Coturnix japonica: one gene and its partners. The protein of the gene in region 4 interacts with the protein of the main gene of each other region in a biochemical or structural test. Links are inferred from orthologs where the notes say so. Each region holds a gene or a part of one and is shown on either strand. Other genes may lie near its edges.

Region 1 (3,916 bases), on a different chromosome or scaffold from region 4:
GAAACACTGGCTGCTCACAGCTGTCACCTGCTATAGATCTGTAAAGCGTTTTTACAAAGCAGTAGCCATTTATTCACAAATGCACTCTGTACATATATGGTGCTGGCTTTACATGAGATACATCACTGTGTACAGTTACCTTTTCCTTTGCCCAGCTAATGCTGTATATTTGTTTAAAAAACATAGCGTTGGTCTCACGGTAGCCTTGGATTTCTTCTACTTGGAAGGATGCCTGCATCGCTCATACACTGCAGGAACAAAATGATCCCCACTGCATCCAGCAGAACTGATTGCAAGTAGGGGACAATGCAAGGTCTGAGATACTGTCTGCAGTGTAAGTAGTTTCCCTTTCCCCACTAATCTTCTGTATAGACAGCAGGGGGAAAATGTTCACCCCCTTCCTGGGAGGGGTTCGGAGCTGCTTTCCCTGGCCCACCAGGCAGCCCCTGCTCCTCAGCAGCTTCCCACTGGAACGATTCCATTTGGGCAGACTATGGAATCACAGTTCTTGTAGCTGTGTCAGTTCCAGCTCCACACTGCGGTGCCAGCTGGGAGCAGCTGCCTCCCCAGCACCCTCCCAGGTGAGACCACGAGCTCTGGGCCACGTGCAGGGTTTCAGAGCTGACCAGTGAGCCTTTTTCAGCAGAACATGCAGAAACAGACACTCTATGCTTTTATCACAGGTAAGCTTTTACATGGTGCTGCTAAGAAGTGCGAGCTGTCTTGTATTACATGACACTAGCGTTACACTACAGCGTACAGCAGGGAGGAGACTTAAAGCTGCCCTGGGTGTTTCTTTAAAAAGCAGGACCTACTGGGGTAAGGGGTAATAACTGCACTTTAGGACAATTCCTCTGCTTGGGACAGGTATCTGAAATTCAAACAGGTTTGTAAACAAAGCAGAGATAACAGAGGTGTTGTAGAAGGTTACAGAAATCGGCTGAGGTGACGAGTTTGTCGTTGTTTTCTTTACAGTAAATAGAGCGGGGGAGAAAAGTAAACTAGCCTATGTCACACACAACTGCAGCGTATGTAATACTGCGTTCTGAGACACCTGCCCTTCTCACATACAAACATAGTTATGGCTGGGTAATCGTTCCACATCTCCAAGGGCTGCTCCAGACACATTTCAACCAATAATCTGGTCAAAATAATGTAAACGTTATTTTTTAATGTCTACAGAATAACCACAGACGGCATTATGATGAGGTCAGAATGGAGGTTTTGATTGTTGTTTCTTACTTGTCCATCTACAAACAGTACAAGATGGGAGTTTCACATTTTATTTACGCCCCAGTGATCTTTGCACTCGTTTGAGCATTTACAGTCGTGTACTCTAAGTCTGGAAACACGAGCATTTTTCTAAACAGTAACAGAAGTTATTAGCTGCAAGGATAGCATAGCCATGTTGTAGTATAGAAGCTGCCCTGATCCTCTGGTTGTTGACAATGCATAGAAGATTTAGAATTATGGAACAACTGTCCCTCCCGCCACCCCCCACCTCCCCTTAATAGTGTTACCAAAAGCTTAATTTCTCCAGTTTTAAAGTGCAAATGATTCAGATACAACTGCTGCTGGAACAGGTCTGAACAGAAAATGAAGTCCTCTTATGAGATGTTTTCCAGAATATAAAAGATGAGCTCCATTATGACTGGCCCCTCACTCAACTGACACGCCCCTCCATGAATCACTGGAACTAAGGCACTGTCCAGGTCATTCATGTACTGAGAAGGCAGTGGCTGTCCATTACTCCCAGCTTGATAACCAACCTAAAAAATACAAAGCAACAACAGTGGGTTTTACACAGAAGGGGAGAGCAGGCTGGGGGTAGTGAGGGCAGTGCTGTGCAGGAGGATGAGCTGTGTGTGATGCCCCCATCTCAGCTGGGGGGAAGTCGGGCCCATGTACCCCAACCCTAACCCTGGTCTTCTCTGTTCCCACTGACTGCCTGGGGGAAAAAGCAGCTTTTTCTTATCCCCCACTGTTCTACCAAATCAGAGCTTCCAGAGCAGCAGGAACCATACCCTGCACTATCAGATTAAGCCATGCAGTGTTTAAGACCTGGATGATGCTAAGCACACTTCACTCAAGGCAAGGCCAGCTGGTGTGCCAAAAGCCCCTTCTCTCTGCTTGTAGTGTTTGCTGCAGAGCTCTCTCAAGGGAAGCTCCCATCTGTTTCTCTGCCTCATAAGCAAAGTGATCTTTTAAGAACAGCCATACTTGTAAACAATATTTTATGCTCACACCACAACACATTTATTCTACTCCCTTCTTCAGCTCCTGGTGGAAAGGCCCAGCTTACAGCATCTCTCAGCAGGTCTCTCTGGCCCACACCTCCAAGGGCTGCTCCAGGTTTGACTACAGAGCAGGAGCTGCTACAGGCTCACTGTTAATGATGGTTCATGCACTGGCTCTCCCATGGCAACAGACTGCCCCAAACATCACCTAACAGCAGTACCAGACAAGCATCCCAGTACTGGTGGTACTTCAGCCAACCAAATGGTTTGAGGCAGTGTATTCATTATATTCTTTAGGGCTTGGGGAAGCAACCAACCAGCACCAGCCATTAAGCTGGAACTGTTCAAGACTTACTTGATCTGAGTCGAGAGTAACGCGCAGACCAAGCTTAGTCATGCCGTCTTCTTTCAACAACTTCAGATGAGGACAGAGAGCCAAACAAAAGGCTTTTGCCACGTTTTCAGTCAGTCGGCTGTGATCAGCTGGGTCACTCAGCCCGCTGTGCTGCTCATCGTTCTCCAGGAAAAACACCTGAAGAATTAAGATACAGAACATGAAGTTAATTAAACGCCATTCAAAGCTTTTTTTGAAAGAAGGCCTCAAGAAAAGCTTCTTGAGGAACATCAGTAAAAGACCCTAGGGTCAAACTACCCCTCAAACAACAGATAACTATACAGAGGTTTTCCAAAGCCTTCTGGTTCCATCTAAAGCTTCTTTCCAGAAAGGCACCACCTATTGTACGCTGTTTGCTTTTAAACAGGTGCTCAGTGCAGAAAATCCACACTTTCACCCTGAGGAAGAAATGTGTATTGCTGTCACTAACCCTGCAGGTAGATCTGGGAATAGAAGAGTAGCACAGCAAGCTGTAGGAAGAATAGATTTGGTTCCTGCTGCTCCCTAATTTTGGTAATGGAGGGAGTGCAGGATGAAGAAAGACTGCTGGAGTTGCAGGCCCCAAATGCTCCATTTGCCTCACTTACCTCTGTCCATCGGATGACCTTTCCATTTGCCTTGTACTCTGAGCCATGAAATATCTTCACACTTGTTATAGACTCCATTGATTTGCCATCAATAGGGCTGACAACACTGCAGAAGTGGAGGGAGAAGGGTAAATTCCTACTTAGCGGGAAATATTAATAGAGGACATTGTAAAGGAAAAGTATCTCACAGATCAAAGGACAGGACAGTGCCCCTGGTACACCTAGACTTCAATAGAATTGCTGCAGGTTGTTTTCATAACTGCAACTTGAACCACTACAACAAAGCAACTTATCACATCAACTAAATGGGGCACAGACCAAAACCAGCCTCAGCAGGGAACTCCTTGAACAGAGGGTGCCAAAATAAGTGACCCTGTGTACAGCTGCAATGCTGATACTAAGCCTGGATGTTCATAATAAGGGAAGAGCCAAGAGGCACAGCAGTCCTGCTGTCTGCTGCAACCCCAACCCTCTGACATGTGGAGCTCAGGATGGAGCTTCCTGCAGGTTTCCAGCTTAGCTCTGCACCAGGATTGAACTCAGGTGTAAAAAGAGCAACAGGATGTGCTTCAAATGATTTGCTTTTTAGCCATTTGTAATGTTGGTGGAGGCCCGTGATACCTTAAAACACTGCTTATACACCACAGAATGTGTTCTGTAACATTTAATTACAGAACCTGAGACTGACACGGTGTCTG
Region 2 (5,128 bases), about 13 Mb from region 4:
TTTTCCTTCATCCATCCTCAAAAAAAAAAAAAAAAAAAAAAATCTTATTCTCTTACATACAACAGCCAGAAGAGTTTTGTTTTGTTTTTTTTTTTTTATCCTGGAAAGTTCTGGACTGGGGACATCATATGGAGAAAATACAATTACCTCTCATACCTCTCAGGCTTAAAAATTTAGTTCCTCCCCTCCCCATCCCCCAAAGGAAATGGTTATCCAGACTGAAATTATCTTCCAAAGAAAAAATATAAACCTTAGTATCTTAGTTAACAAAAACAGTGATCAGATGTTTCTTGTGAGAGGAAAGAATAATAAAAGAGTAAGGTAATTATGGAAAAAGAGCTGCAATAAGTTTATTCTTAAAACTTAGGAAGAGAGCACAGCTTCTCTGAGAAATTAAAACAAGTGATACTGCTGCCAAAAACAGCAGCAATAATAAAAAAAATGTGGGAAGAAGTATGGAACATTTCCAAGGAAAACACCATTTTCTGCAATTCTCTACTGAGAGAGTACTCAAGCTAACAATCCTCAAAACCACAAAACATTCTTTTTCCCCTTTGACAAAAATTAACAAAATGGGAATGTCAGCACAGCTTTCTCAGTCATACTCGAGATATAACAGGAGTCTTTCCTATATTCATAAACTCAAAAGGGTATACCAAGCTGGAAGAGACCCACAAAGATCACAGAGTCCAACTCCTGGCTCTACAAAGGAACACCCAAAATTCAAATCCTATGTCTGAGAGCACTGTCCAAATCCTTCTTAAACTCTGGCAGCTGAATTGGGATCCTGTTTCAATGCCCAGCCGTTCCATGGATGAATTTCTTCCTAATCCCCAGCCTGACCCTCCCCTGCCACAGCTCCAGGTCTTTCCATCAGGTCCTGTTGCTATAACTGCAAAGAAGAGATGGGCACCTGCTCCTCTGCTCTTCTCATGAAGAAGCTGCAAGCCACCATGAGGCCTCTCCCCTCTTTGGGCTGAACCTCATAAATCTTAACTTCTAGACCCTTCCCCATCTTTGAAGCCCTCTTTTGGATGCGATAATAGTTTTGTACCCTTCTAGTACTGTGGGTACAAAACTGCACACAGTGCGTGAGGAAAGGCTGCACAGCACAGAGCAAAGCAGGACAATCCCTTCCCGTCCCGCAGTGGAAATGCTGGTTCTGGTGCACCATAGGGTACAGTTGGCCCTTTGGGCTGTTTGGGCATTCTCCTGGCCCAGATTCAACATTTCCATGGGGCAGCTCTCCATCTTCTTGTTCCCCAGTCCATATGTTAATATATTTGAAAGTAACCATTGTTTTTATCCCCTGCAATACTTACCAGCTTCAACTGTGAGCTCTGGCCACAAGAATTTTCTCCCTACAGTGTCAAACAGTATCTAAGTAGTCCTCCCACACTGCCTCACACCTTACTTCTAGTGGCAATACACTTTCTGCCTAGGTTCAAAAACAGAATCCCTGCTAAGCTAAGCCAGCCTTCTGCCCTGTTTGTCTGTTTTCCAGCATTTGGAATTGCCTGTTCCTGTGATCTTAGGATGTAGCGCTTAAAAACTGACCTGCACTGACAGACCACACTGTTGTCAAAAGCAATCCTCCAAAGGACTTCACCGACTAGTTCTCTGAGCAGTCTGCTCTCCCCACATCCAGGGTTGAAGTTTTGGTGGTAGTTCTCCACCTTTCACTCAACTACTTCATGGTCACTATGGGCAAGATGGCTTCCAATCAAAACTTCTTTCTCAAGACTCTCTCTGATTTCAACAAATTAATTGCTCAACTAGAGAACTGGCCATCTTTCCTTTAACAGACACATGTAATCACCTTTCACAGCATTTAAATGGGAAAATTAGACATTTTGAGTCATGGAATTATTAGAATCACACAGTACTCCTTTTTATAATATCTAACCTTTTTTATTGTTGCTAAGAGCTACCACTTTTGGTTGGTTGATGGAAGTTTCTATCAGTGGTGGTCGCATTTCTGCCATTTTCATCTCTTCATCAGAGGAGAGTTCTTCTGACTCCTGCAAAAGGAAAAACAGTTTTATATAGAGAGCATTTTAAATACGTGGCTAAAGGTTAGGTAAAACTGATCTAAATCATCATCCTATCTAATAAACAGTAAAGATAAACAAATAACACAGACCTAACATAGCAACTATGTAGCAAATCAAATGAATTTAACTTTTTCGATTCAATTATATTTAAGATGCATAACACACACATTTGTTTTGTGTGTGATGATCTCAGAGGGAATGATAGCAAAAATTGGTATCTTCAGCTTAGGTTTTCATTTTGAAATTCACACACTAGGGTAAACTTTCAAATGGAAGAGAAGATATTTAACTTCAAGAATAAATGACGCTGAATAGATCTAGGCTAGAATTCTTCAGATCCTAACCATCAGATCTCAGTGCACTTCTGAAAGAGACAAACTGACAAAGCTGCCTGCAAGAGCAGCCACACAAGAGATTCAGAATTCTATTGCCTGGCCCACATACTCCTACCATCTTCAAGAATACAATTTTCTTTCATTAATATTCTCTGTAATGAAAAAAAAAATCTTTCTTTTCTTCCTTTAAGTGAAAATTCTGTTACAAAATACAGTACCACCAATTCAATGACACTAACTACCTTGTTCTTTGGACTACAGTAAAGGACAGTAAAACTGAGAAGTAGCAAACACTTTGTGACCAACTTTATAACAACCCTGTTCCTCTGTAATAAGAACAGATAATCTCTTTGCTACCTCTGCCATATTGCCCTTCCCCTTAGGTGTGATATATAACAAGAGTAATTAACATTGAAAGGAAAAGCTTTTATGCATATAAAGTTATGTGGATGGAGACAAAGTTACTAGCAAGTTACTATGAGGAAGTAAGGAATTTGCTATCCACGGCTGACTACAAACAACTGCCTGATTTCCTTACTGGCTTACAGCCAGGTTTAAAAGAATGACTGCCACTGCCAGACAACTGGTAGTTTTCTTTTTTTAAGTAATGTTTTTAAACTGCAGAAAACTGTTAGAACCAGTATTTTATGAAAGCATGTAATAGCAGGAACACGCCAGGGGGAAAAGACCCAGCAACAGCCACAACGGCTGGCCATTAAGTCTCATTATCGCATGATAAATGCATGCTCCACTGCTTGCACAACGCACACACAAAATTATCAGTTTGTGAAACTACTGCAAAAACTCCAAAAAACATTTCACATGCTGTGATTGGCAAGTGATTAACTGACAAGTTCCAAAATGATACTAATGCTGAAACATGCTCTAAATTAAAAAATATATGCATGTTTGTCACAGATGTACAAAGAGTTCAGAAAGTACGAGTATCTGATTTCTGTAACACAAGTCATATTTAAGATATCTTACTACTAAATACATACAAAAACATATTTTTAAGCCCACTTGTTATTTTAAATGAACAGGCAATTCACTTGTATATTCAAGATTTTGCTTGCTCCTACTGACAAGATACTTTGGCATTTCAGAGACAATCACAATCAATCATTTCCTGAGGTGCTGAAAATCAAGTGGAAACTGGAAAATTCCATTTAAGAAAGAATCTTTTCCAGAGCTTAGTACTCAGATCAATTTCTGCGCTTGACTTATTTTTCTCTAAATGCCTACAGTTTCATTATGAACAACTTCTTACATTTTTCAACTTGCACTTATAATACAGCTAAGGTGAGAACAATACTGCATTAGGAAGACATTTACAGTTACAAATCCCTCTGTACTAACAGTACTTGTGGATAGAAATTTTCTGCTTTTGTCAACATGAATTTTCATTTCTCTTATAAACAAGTCTGATGCAACACCAGCACAACTCTTTGACTGCTATAGTGTTCATCACAATGCCTCACCTCAAGCGTGTCTTCATGGTTAACAACTGTTTTTGTGTTCTGCAAGGTTTTAACAAGTGCAGCCATCTGCGAATTTGCAGTGCAGTGCTCAGCTTCTGGTTCAGTAGGCTTCTGCACAGAGCTTCCTGCTGAATACTGCTTTCTCTCATCAGCCTTATTCTTCATTGGAACAATTTCTGAAGTCTACAGGATTAAGAACATTCGTAGAAAAAACATTTGAAAACTTTTTCAGAAACATTCAGAAATAATAGTATGGGAAACTATGGAACAGAAGATGTTTGAAATGATCAAGTATGAAATACACAAGGTAGAGAGAAATCTCTCCAGACCATTCAGTTGTAGCCCTCACTCTTTTCCAATTGGTTTCACTCTCACCCTTACAGGGGTCACTTCATACCATTAAACTTCCAGTTTAATTTAAAAAAGCCAAGTGTATCTACAATGAGACAAGTCAGCATCGAAGACATGCCAAACAGTCCTGCCACATATTACAGTACATCAAGCTGTCAGTGACCTGTACACCAAATTGCTACTATTGCCTTCCCAACTTAACGTGCAAAACCATCAGTTGTGAGGGCAACAGTTATGATTCTTAGAAATGATCCCCACTTTCCTTTTTCAAGTTTGGTGGTCAAATAAGAACTCCTCCAGAAATTTAGGAAATAAGCTCCATTACACATTTGTACTTCTTATTTCCCTGAGAATCAAGCCATTTTCTTTGTTGTCAGTGTTAAGAGGGAAATCTCTACTACAAAGCAGGTAACTATTGCAGACTTCTTCACAGTGAGGGTACAGAACACTGGAATGGACTGCCCACAGGGGCTGCAGGGTTTCCTTCTTCACTGACATTCAAAACCCGCCTGGAGGCGTTCCTGTGTGACCTGGTCTAGGTGTTCCTGCTCCAGCAGGGGGATTAGGTCTACAAGATCTTTCAAGGTCTCTTCCAATCCCTGACATTCTGTGATTCTTAAGGCGACAAAGAGGTAAGCCCTGCTCTTTAATGTGGAGCATTAATGAGGAGAGAGAAGACTAAAAAGAATCAATGGCAATCTAGACATTTGGAAGTTTCAGTGAAGTCAGAAGATAGTATTACACCTAACCTTTACCCCCACATCTTTTACAGAAACTGTCTGGCTTTCTCGTTTTGATTCCTTGGCAACATCTTCAGTAGACTCTTCATCCTTTAGCCTGTGTACAATTGTCTGGACTGTTTTGACCATATTCTTCAGCTCATCAGGATATGGAGTTGGATATCTCT
Region 3 (4,844 bases), on a different chromosome or scaffold from region 4:
GAGCATGTGCTGCTGGGGGCTCATGGGGTTGGGTTGGCCCGGAGAGCCGATCTGCTGCTTCATCTGCTGCTGCTGCAGGATCCGCTGCTGCAGCGCCTGCTGGATGTTGGGAGCGCCGTCCGCCCCCAGGCCGGGCTGCCCCATCTGGTTCAGCTGTCCTATCTGAGCCATCTGTCCCATGGACCCCCCCTGTATCGATATATGCTGCTGCATCCGCTGCTGCTGCATGGCTTGAGGGTAACCACCCGGTCCTTGGGGCTGCTGGAACTGGTTGTGGCCGGCCATCCCCGCCGCCATGCCAGCCCCTCCTTGCTGCTGCTGCTGCTGTTGCTGCTGCTGCAATAGTTGCCTCCTCAGGAGCTCTCGGTACTGCGGGTTCATGCCTGCCATGCTAGTGTTGTGGCCGGAGTTCATGATGTTGATCGCTTGTCCCTGCGGGTTCATGGCTCCTATCCCTTGCTGCTGGGGAGGAACGCTCGGTCTCTGCACTCCCGCTTGCATCGCGTTCATGTTCTGCAATCCCGGCTGCGCGTGCATGCCCGGCTGTTGCATGCCGGTCTGCGGCTGCTGCATGCCGGGCTGGGGCTGTATGCCCGCCTGCGGCTGCATCCCGGGCTGGTTAGCCACGTATTTGGCCGTTCTTTGCTTTATAAAAGCTGCCATAAGCTGAGGGTTGGACTTAAGGATATTAAGAACCTGCTGCTGCTGCTGCGGAGAGCTCGGTGATTTCAAGGTCCTCAGCAAGTCCTGAAGTGCATTTGGAGGGATGCTCCGCGGCGGCTGCTGCACGCCCGGCATCCTCGGCCCCGCCACTGCTTGCGCCGTCGCCATCGGCATCACCGGCCTCGCCATTCCCGGCTGCATCGCCTGCTGCTGCGGCATTGGGGGCGACTGCCACTGCCCCGGCTGCATGTTGGACATCACCGGGCCGCTGACGGGGTTGGGCCGCGGTACATTCATGCCGACCTGCTGCATCTGGCTCACCGAACCCACCGCCGGGTTTACGAGCCCCGGGCGACCAGGGGGCAAACCATTGTTGATGTTGTTGACCCTGTAGAGCTGCTGCTGCTGCTGGGCGGCCTCTCTCTCGATCTGCCGAGCCGCTTCCACTGCGGCCGGTGGCGGCTGAGCAGGAGGTGGAGGCGCCGCAACCGGGTTTGTGGGTTTTCCTGTCGAAACAGTGGTGGGGGGCTGAGTTCTGGAGACGCTGGGAAAGCCGGCCGGTGACATACTTACAGGGGAAGGCTGGGGCTGGGGAGCAGGCTGCGGTGTCTGCGGCGTACTTGGCTGCTGTGTGGGGGTACCAGGCGTTGCTGAGGTAGGAGAAGGCAAACTTTGCTGAGGCACGTTTCGGGTGTTCATGGTCGCCATCCTTCTGCGCATGAGCTGGGCCTGCTGCAGGCGGTGCTGGATCTGCTGCTGCCGGAGCTTGTGTTTGATGTTGAGACAGAATGGCACGGGGCATTTGTTCTCTTGGCAGTGTTTGGCGTGGTAGCAGCAAAGAGCTATGAGCTGTTTGCACACCGGGCAGCCGCCGTTGGTCTTGCGCTTGCAGCCCTTGGTGTGTTGGACAACCCGCTTCATCTTCTGGCAGGATGGCAGCGAGCAGTTTGCGTTGCGGCACTGACAGGCGTGGACGAGGGACTGAATGCAGCGCTGGATGCTCAGCCGGCGCGACTCCTGGGGGCTCTTTGACTGCTGCTCTCCTTGGCTGTTGCTCTCATCATCCAGGCCCAGGCCCCACTTAACCATCTTGTGGTCATGGCTCTTAGTGTTGTAGCAGTTAATGCAGAGGTCGTAGTCCTGAAAGCAAAGAAAATGCAGAGCTCAGTTGCCTGTGAAGTGCTACCTGCGGCACTAGGAGGGAGGAGAAACATGAACCCGATGTGGAAGCACATCTGGGTTACAGTGGGCACAAACATGGCCCAACAGAAGCAAGACAGTCCCAGGCTCCACTGAGGGCAAGAATGCAATCAGGCACCGCTTCTGTGCCGTCGCTTCCATACATTGCAGGGTTTGGTCTGCTGGGTTTTTTCCTTCCTTTTTGATGATGGTAAATTTTACATCTCTGGAATGGCTACCAGACAAGTTACACAAGGAGAGCCAAAACAGTGCAAACAGCTCTACCCTAAGTGCTAAGAACCAAGGATCTGCTCTCCATTTAACTATCCTTGGTGTAATTACTGACTAACAATTAATTCCTGACCTGCAATGTGTTTTTTAATCTCTAAGACAGCCCTTGAAGCAAGTGCCAGTTTCATGGCAAGACGGACACTTAGCTAAAAACCTCCTCAAACACCCCATTCTCACTGCCCTGAGTGCTTTATTTGACTGCTAGAGGAAGACAATTCCCCTCACACAGAAGCAGCCAGAAGAAACCTAATGGCCACACTTCCTTTCACCACTTAATTCCAGCCTTGCCTCAAGAAGCCCTCTTCAGTGCTCCCCTCGGAGGGATTAATTAAGACTCTTCAACCACAAGCCTGGCAATAACTTCCAGTGTGAGAACGAGGCTGCATTTACTCAACAGTTTTTAGTTCAGCTGCAGCCAGAGGTCACCAACAGCCCCATGGAGGAGACCTGCCCCTCACGTCCACCCGTGTGACTCCACGTGTAATTGCTCTCTAATGCAGTTCAGTAGAAGTGATCTCCACTGCAATAGGGCCAGACATCAGAAGTACAGAGCCAGGTTAGGAAGCAATTATTTGGGTTGATCCAAAGGGCAAGAAACCTCTAAAGCTGGGCTGAATTGGAAGCCCCTTTTCCCAGCTGCACAGCAGCCTGAGCATGTGCCTGGCTGCACTCAATACAAAGCCAAGCACCACATACAACATGGAGCCAACTGCTCCCGTGGTCATCCATTCAACATGGATACGCCAGTCCTGCAGATTCAGGTTACTCTGACAGTGTCAGACCCTGTCAGTCAGCCCTGAAATTCTGTCTTGATAAGCTGAAGCCCGGATGTGCAGAGGAGCTTGATGACAAGGGCAGCAATTCAGCTGTAACCATTCTAGGACACGGCAGCTTCCCATCCAGAAAAACAAAGGCACCTACTCTAGAAGAGATTGATCCACAGTGGCAGTTGCCTTCCCTTAAAGCTTCACATTGCTAACACCAGAACAGGCTTAATTTTGAGGAGACTCGGGTGAGAAGCCATCCCAGGTGACCTACACATACCTCACAGACAGTGCAATGCCACCTGGTCTCCACGTGATGCTTGCACTCATTGCACGTATAAACAAAGCGGTCCTGCCCCTGGGTGTGGAGCTCCACCAGCATGCAGAGCGTGGACCACTTGGATCGGCGCAGCGAGGAGAACTCCCAGTGCTTATCTCTGGCTAAGGTGAGGAAGGCATCCCGGCCATCCATCAGATCGCAGCTCAGCAGCGGGTCGGGGTCCACAATGGGGGGCAGCGTGTTAATGACAGGCCCAGCGTGTAAATGGATCACAAAAAAGACCTGCAGATAAATGGGAAGAGGGGCAATAAATCAACGACGTCAGGTTATCTCACAGGAAAAGCTCATGTTCTGTTGCAGAAACACAACGCTGCAACCATTATCTAATGGACACCATTATAGCAATCTCTCCAATATGTTGTTACACGACTACAAGAAACCTTCAGCGTAACCAAAAGCTTTAGCTCCTCCTGGTTTCCAGTTCTACCACCCCACCTCCATCTACAGGAACCAGCTTCCCCTGCACTCTGCACGTTCTGACGGTACCTCTTTATGCTTCTCCATGGTGGCGTACAGCTTCTGAGACAGGTCGTTGGACACGTTTGGCATGCTGGGTTTCTTCTTGTTCGCTCTGCTGATGCTACTCTTATTCTTGTTGGTTTTTTTGTTGTTCTTTTTCTTGGCGTTTTTGCTGTCACCCTGACTTCCCTGCAAGAAACACACGGGGAAGACGTTCAGCTTTACAGAGCTCTCTCCTGTTCACTGCAGCACAAAGTGAGGTGCAGCTGCTGTCAGTAATGCAGCTTCATTCCAGTGCCTGCAGATGAACCACACTGTGCTAAATACATCCCATCTTCCAGGACAGAAATCAAAAGCCAACCCAGCACGAAACAGATTTCAAATGTGGTTTAAAAATAGCCCAGGTTTTTACTTCTTTTTATGCACAGACATACATTCAGTTGTGTCTTCTCCCCGCGCTTCAGCTCCACTGCCTGTCCTTGCAAGTCTTACACAGAATAAAATGTGTTAAAAATAAAACAGACTTTGACAGACCCTGTGAGTGCAGCCGTTTGCTTTGCTGTGCACTCAGGACTTGACACTCAAGTTCTAATTCATTAATTTCAATTCGACAAACTGAGAGTTAATGCACGGAAAAGGCAGGATGTGAAACCACCAGAACATGTCTCACCCCACCCTGAAGATGTGCTGCTGCATCAGCAACGCCAAAAAAACCCCCAAATACCAAACACTCAATGCCTTCACTTGTGTGTAAGTCACAGCACAGGCCACAGTGAACACAGACTGAATGCTAAATATAAGCAGGGTGAAAAATAGCAGATGGTGCTGTTTGGGTGACCTGGGAAAACAGAGATTGATGTGCCTGAAAAACAAAATAGAAATTAAAGAAAGAAGCCTCCTGTCCCTGTAACAGAGCACTCAGCGCCCAGTGAAAACCCAACCTGCTGCCATGCTGGTCTGTAGGATGTGCAGAACAATCCTCCTGTACACACACACATAGAGGAACGTTTCCTGAACGTTATGTACAGGCCAACAGGTTTTATTGCAAGTGTGTTTATTCACACCAAGCAAAAATATTCTAACTGAGGAACCAATTCTGCATGTAGTCTGTAGGCCTCATTGCCACCCTTCCTTCTACCCACTGTGTT
Region 4 (5,808 bases):
GCATTGTGGCCAGCTGACTTCAGGGCTGTCTGCATCCAGTGTGTCTGTGCTTTTGAACTCTTACTTGCAGGAGAGGGTGGCTGAAGCAGAGTTCCCAGTGCATGTGGTCCCAGTGGGTGGCAGCTCAACAAGCTGGTGATGGTGTAGGAGGTCATAACTGGCATCATGATGGGGAACATCCTATCTGCTTCCTAGAATACAGAATCTTGGTCCAAGGCTTGGGTATGTTTCCAGGCATGATTTACCTTAGAAGTATGTATGTTAGTCCTTTATTCTTCCAGAATCTGTATGGACTAAAGCAAACCTGCATCTCTTAAGAGGTTGAAGACACATTAGAAAAGTAACTCTTAGGAGAGGATACCTCCTGTTTTGAAGGGGGGCACAAATCCTAGCTCATCAGTTTTTCTGCAGCTCCTTTTCCAACACTCCCATGTGCTTCTTCACCACCTTCCTTCTCTGTGGTGTCCTGGGTCCTAATTTACACCTCCGTCATACTTCGGAGTCATTTCAGATTACTGTTAGGTTTTGAACTGTGGTATCAACTTTGAAAGTTCAAATAATTACAGAGAAGAGGTTAATAATATAAAATACTGTACCTATTTGGCATACTCTAAGGCTGTAGCACTTCTGTATGTTCCCTGGTGTCCCACAGGCTGACTGTGTGTCTTCAGGGCAACAATTCCAGTCTTTGCATGTCCAGTCTTTGCATGTCTGCTGGCAACCCACCATGCTGGTAGAGGCACCTTAGGAGTAGCAGAGGTGGCAGGCACTGCTGAAGCAGTGATGGTCACTATCCTTCTGCCCCCTGGGGTTCTGGAGAGCTATGAATTGTCTTAGAGCATTTCACCCTCCCTGGGATGGTATTTAATTGAGGTGTGTGAGACAGGCAGGAAGGGGACCAGACCCATTCCTTCCCTTTCTCTATGGAGAAAGGGAAAAAAATTAAGTTTTAATAGAGTGTCCATGGAATTGTGGTTGTCTGTGCTAGAAATGCTGTTAAGAGCAGTGTGTCAGCTGGGGTTGGTAACTTAAATGTAAATCTCTTTTCTAAATCAGGGCTTGGGTGAACTTTATGTCCTGTCTGGTACTTTTCAGAGATTGTTAACTTCAAAGCTGAAATAGCAGCCACATTTCTGGCTTTGTGAGTGGCTCGTCGCCCAAGTTTTCTCCATTTCTGAGTCTCACTGTGTGTTACTCATGTAAAATAAATTGTCCTTTCTCAGTGGTCACAGATCACATCTGTGGTGGACCTGAGATGGGCCCATACTTCTGAGAACATGCTGCCCATTTATACACGTGTGCTGTTCTTTGCTTTGCCTCAATCTGCTTCTCTTTCAACTTGTGCTTGTGTTACTGGAGGTTCCTTTTTTTGAACTTCTGTGCTTGTCACTGAACCAGTTTCCAAAAGTTCTCTCTCATTTCCTCCTGTTTGATTTCACAATTAATATTTTGTTGTTCTGTAGCTGGGGCTACACTGTAAGTCTGTGTAAAGCGTACGTCTTGTATGCAGTAGAAAATAACAAAAATAACACCAGTGATTTAATCAAGGAGAGCGGAGAAATTAGTGAGAAGCATCACTGCAATATGCTTTTCTTCAGAGCCCAAGCTTTCCTGTATTGAGAAAAGCAGTAAATAAGAGTGTACATGGAGAATGCGGTGGCTGAATGGTGGTACCTTGGAGCCAGGCTGTGATGGTTCAGTTCCAGATGCACATGGCCCATGATTGTAATTGTAGGGCAGCTTATATTGAAAAACAAACAAAAGCAAAAAAGAAACCAACCCAGAAATGACCCTTGAAAAGAGAATTTTGGTAGGAGCGAGGCTGAGGATGTTTTGCCTGTTTTAAGGTGCATTGCAGCTGTATCAACTACTTAAAGTCAGAATTTGTTCACCCCTTAAAAACATGATCATTTACCTTGAGTCACGCGTTCCATTTTGATAGCCTCCTTCATATAGAAAATATAGCATGCGACGTCCATCCAAGTGCAAGCCTACCAGTGCTCTATCTTCTATGTGGAAGGAAGTACTCTGTACATTTCTCCATGTTTGACATCATGGTGTTTTGAATAACCACGTTCCATATTCATACCAATTTTTTGTTTTTGTTTTCAATTTATGCACAGCACTTGCTCTGAAATTTGGGGACTGAGTACACCAAACACGATAGATCAGTGGGACACAACAGGCCTTTACAGCTTCTCTGAACAAACCAGGTGAATATTCTGCCCTCTCTCCATCATAGAACCTTGTGGGAGGGATTGGCTTTGGAGGGTCTGTCATGGGATGCTATAGCTGTAAAATAGACTGAATGCTTCTTAGGCCTCAAGACATTTGCTTGCCAGTGTAGCAAACCAAGTATTCTCAGCTGATGTTTTGACCAATGAAATCCTAATTGCGGAATACTCATTTTTCACGCCAGTTGAAAGAATGGGAAGACTTGTTAATGCAAGCTCTGATGGGATTTGGTATTTCTATTAACAACGCTCGGCTACTTAATTCTTTAGACCTAATCTTACAAAGTGTTTAAACTGCTTTGTATGCCATGAGCTTTCAGTTAAATCTCACTAATTGGCTCTGATACGAGCTGCTAAAGAACTGCTTGTAAATTCTTCTGTAGTTAACAGGGGGCAAATTCTGAGCAGGGTCTTTATTTTTTCATACCACATTGCTTGATTTGTGTACTGAGGTTTGTCTCCCATCCCATAACAGTCATAAACATCTGCATTTGTGTAAGCATATGCAGTCTGTCTTAAAACTAGCAAAACGTTTTCAGCTGGTAGCAAGGCAGAGGAAGGCAAGAAGATAAAATGTACAGCCCCTGTGAGATGTGTGTTCATACTTGTTGCATCGCAGTCACACCATGTGGATCCCTTGGGCAGTTGACTGTTTAGAGGCTGATTTGCAGTCCCCAGGGAATTATTAAACTTAAAGCCGTAAAGCATCCATGCCATGGCAGAGCCTTGAGGTTTAGAAACTTGAAGGGACTGTTAAGTGTGTGATTTTCTTTCAACAACTGTCTTCTGCATTTAAAAAATGTATATGAAATGATGATCCCAAATACTTGGCTGGAGGTAAAGTGGCTTTTAATGACCCCTAAATTCACTGGCAATAATTTGAGCAGCTCAGAAATAAGTTAACGCTGTTTGATGCCATAATTTTTCTCCCATTTGATGCATTTTAACAAGAGTACACATGTCACTAGCAGTGTCAAATCTCTGAATTCTGAAAGTGAGCACAACTGCCCTTCCTGTGTGTGTACGCTGTTGACTGAGTGATGATGAGACAGCGGGCAGCCTGTAAATACCTCTCAACATCTTTCCCATGTAGATCTCTCGATGGCCGACTGCAGGTATCGCATCGTAAAGGATTACCACATGTCATCTACTGTCGTCTGTGGCGCTGGCCGGATCTTCACAGCCACCATGAACTTAAAGCAATTGAAAACTGTGAATACGCTTTTAATCTTAAAAAGGATGAAGTATGTGTAAACCCATACCACTACCAGAGAGTGGAGACACCAGGTAGGAAGTCTGCTTCTGGCTTTATAGCACTGTCCTTGTGTATTACGAAGGGGACATGGTTTAGTATATGGGTGAGCTGGGGTTGGACTGGCTGATCTTAGAGATCTTTTCCAGCCTTCATGATTCTGTGAGTGGGCATGCTGGGAGTGGGTTGATGGTTGAACTAGATGACCTTCAGTGGTCTTTTCCAACCTTAATGATTCTGTGATTCTGTGTACTTGTTCAGCATATTGTTTCAAATGAAAAATATAGAAGGATGGGATGTTCTCATGCCAGAACTGCAAGATGGTTAAGGATACAAGTTTGGAGAATACCATCTGCTGAAAGTTTTTAATAGGAAATAAACTGAAAAATCTTTATCAATGTGTTGAACGCCCCAATAAATGCTTCCAGTAGTGCTAGCAATTTCCAACTGGCAAAGGATGGTACAACGTGAAAACGAGAAGAGAAACTGAGAATGGTTCCCTAATGTGAACTAGTCATGTTCAAGAAGAATCTGCTTGTCCTAGTAACTAGCAGACACACCTGAAGAAATTGTTAGAAGGCTTAGATTTGTTTTTCGTTTCACTTCATAGAAGTGTGAGTTTGGAGGGTCCTATTAATATTTTGACTTTTTCTTTTCCAGTCTTGCCTCCTGTACTAGTGCCACGGCACACTGAGATCCTAACAGAGCTTCCTCCTCTTGATGACTACACCCATTCCATTCCTGAGAACACTAATTTCCCAGCTGGAATTGAACCACAAAGCAATTACATACCAGGTATTTTCTTACCTCCCAACATGAACAGTACGCTTATCGTTGCAGCAGTGGAGTAAAGATGGTAACTTCATCTTCCTAAGTGATCAGATGAACTGAAAGATGTAGCAGTAAATTAAATCTTGTTGATTTCCTTTATTAATTCCAGTGGAACACCTGAAGATGAAACACTGACTTAAAATTGCTTGATCTGTAGCTCATAATTGATTGGGCTCTGGTTCGTGTATTTGTTACTACCATGTACATACAGTTTTGCTGTTAGTATTCAGTATTGAATTAATAAAGAATTCTTCTTCCTCCAAAGAAGCTGGCATGCACAACTTCTTTGGGCAGCCTGTGCCAGTGCCTCACCACCCTCTCTGTGTAAAACTTCCCCAACACCTAATCTAAATCCGCCCTCCTTCAATTTAAAACCATTGCCCCTTGTCCTATCACTGTCCACCTATATAAAAAGTTGATTTCCCTCCTGATCATAATCTCCCTTTAAGAAGTGGAAAGCCATAATGAGTCACCCTGGAGCCTTCTAGACTGAAAAAGCCCTGCCCTGCCTCCTCAGCCTGTCTTTGTGGAGGGTTGTTCCAGCCTTCTCATGATCCTTGCAGCCCTCTTCTGCAGCCCTTTCCAAAAGCTCCATATCTTTCCTGAGTTGAAGTCTATAAACCTGAACACAGTACACCAGATGAGGCCTCACAAATGCAGAGAAGGACAGCCGTCTCCCTCACTCTTCTGCCTCCCATCTTCTCATACAGCTCAGGATCCTGTTAGCCAACAGTCCTAAGACAGCGCCCTAGGGAACACCACTCATCACCACTTCTACCTGGACACAGAATCACTGACCACAGCCCTCTGGCTGCCACCATCAAACCAATTCCTAATCCACTGAATAGTCCAGCCTTCAAAACAGTATCTCTCCAGTTAAGAGATCAGGATGTGATGCAGGACTATGTCAAAGGCCTTGCACAAGTCCAGGTAGAAAACATCAGTTTTCTTCTGTTTGTCCACCAATGCCATTATTCCATCATAGAAGGCCACCACATAGGCCAGGCATGATTTATTGTTGGTGAAGCTGTGCTGGCTGTCTTGGATCACCTGTTCATCCCTCATGTGTCTTCCAGGAGGATCTGCTCCATGATCTTCCCAGGCACAGAAGTGAGGCTGGCTAGCCTGTAGTTCTCCCAGTTTGCTGCTACTTCAGGAAGTTTCCAGAAAGATAAAACTTAGCCAAGCTGCCATTTATGCATAAGCATTTAAGGCAATTACATTTCAGCACCCCAGTGCCGAAGTAAGCTGATAATTCCAATCCTGACTCAAGAGGAATGACTGCCTTTAAACTCAAACATGTGATGTACACATTTTATCTGCATGTCTAATGCAGGATGCTACATGTGTTTCCTGTAATTCTATCTGAAAGCTGAAATAGAACCAAGAAAATGTCAGTGAATTTAATCTCCTTTGTTAAATCAATGCCAAATTTGTTGCCACATAGAGAGGTTGGAATTGGGTGATCTTTAAGATCCCTTCTTACTTAAG

Evidence for each region. The genes of interacting proteins can lie anywhere in the genome.
Region 1: the proteins of SMAD2 (region 4) and ZFYVE9 are reported together in a solved structure, tested with the Homo sapiens proteins (2 studies listed by BioGRID and IntAct, with this or other methods). The link is inferred for Coturnix japonica from reciprocal best matches to the Homo sapiens genes SMAD2 and ZFYVE9.
Region 2: the proteins of SMAD2 (region 4) and ERBIN form a complex in vitro, tested with the Homo sapiens proteins (2 studies listed by BioGRID). The link is inferred for Coturnix japonica from reciprocal best matches to the Homo sapiens genes SMAD2 and ERBIN.
Region 3: the proteins of SMAD2 (region 4) and CREBBP form a complex in vitro, tested with the Homo sapiens proteins (2 studies listed by BioGRID). The link is inferred for Coturnix japonica from reciprocal best matches to the Homo sapiens genes SMAD2 and CREBBP.

What each region holds. Positions count from the first base shown.
Region 1 is NC_029523.1:21,732,010-21,735,925, reverse strand, and holds part of ZFYVE9 (zinc finger FYVE domain-containing protein 9), read right to left. Parts: intron 3,325-3,916; coding exon 3,219-3,324; intron 2,770-3,218; coding exon 2,593-2,769; intron 1,770-2,592; coding exon 1,608-1,769; 3' UTR 1-1,607. UniProt on the Homo sapiens protein: Early endosomal protein that functions to recruit SMAD2/SMAD3 to intracellular membranes and to the TGF-beta receptor.
Region 2 is NC_029547.1:14,167,319-14,172,446, forward strand, and holds part of ERBIN (erbin), read right to left. Parts: coding exon 4,971-5,128; intron 4,054-4,970; coding exon 3,871-4,053; intron 2,022-3,870; coding exon 1,907-2,021; intron 1-1,906. UniProt on the Homo sapiens protein: Acts as an adapter for the receptor ERBB2, in epithelia. By binding the unphosphorylated 'Tyr-1248' of receptor ERBB2, it may contribute to stabilize this unphosphorylated state.
Region 3 is NC_029529.1:11,011,221-11,016,064, forward strand, and holds part of CREBBP (CREB-binding protein), read right to left. Parts: intron 3,886-4,844; coding exon 3,724-3,885; intron 3,460-3,723; coding exon 3,178-3,459; intron 1,804-3,177; coding exon 1-1,803. UniProt on the Homo sapiens protein: Acetylates histones, giving a specific tag for transcriptional activation. Mediates acetylation of histone H3 at 'Lys-18' and 'Lys-27' (H3K18ac and H3K27ac, respectively).
Region 4 is NC_029547.1:1,337,044-1,342,851, forward strand, and holds part of SMAD2 (mothers against decapentaplegic homolog 2), read left to right. Parts: intron 1-2,123; coding exon 2,124-2,213; intron 2,214-3,327; coding exon 3,328-3,521; intron 3,522-4,146; coding exon 4,147-4,281; intron 4,282-5,808. UniProt on the Homo sapiens protein: Receptor-regulated SMAD (R-SMAD) that is an intracellular signal transducer and transcriptional modulator activated by TGF-beta (transforming growth factor) and activin type 1 receptor kinases.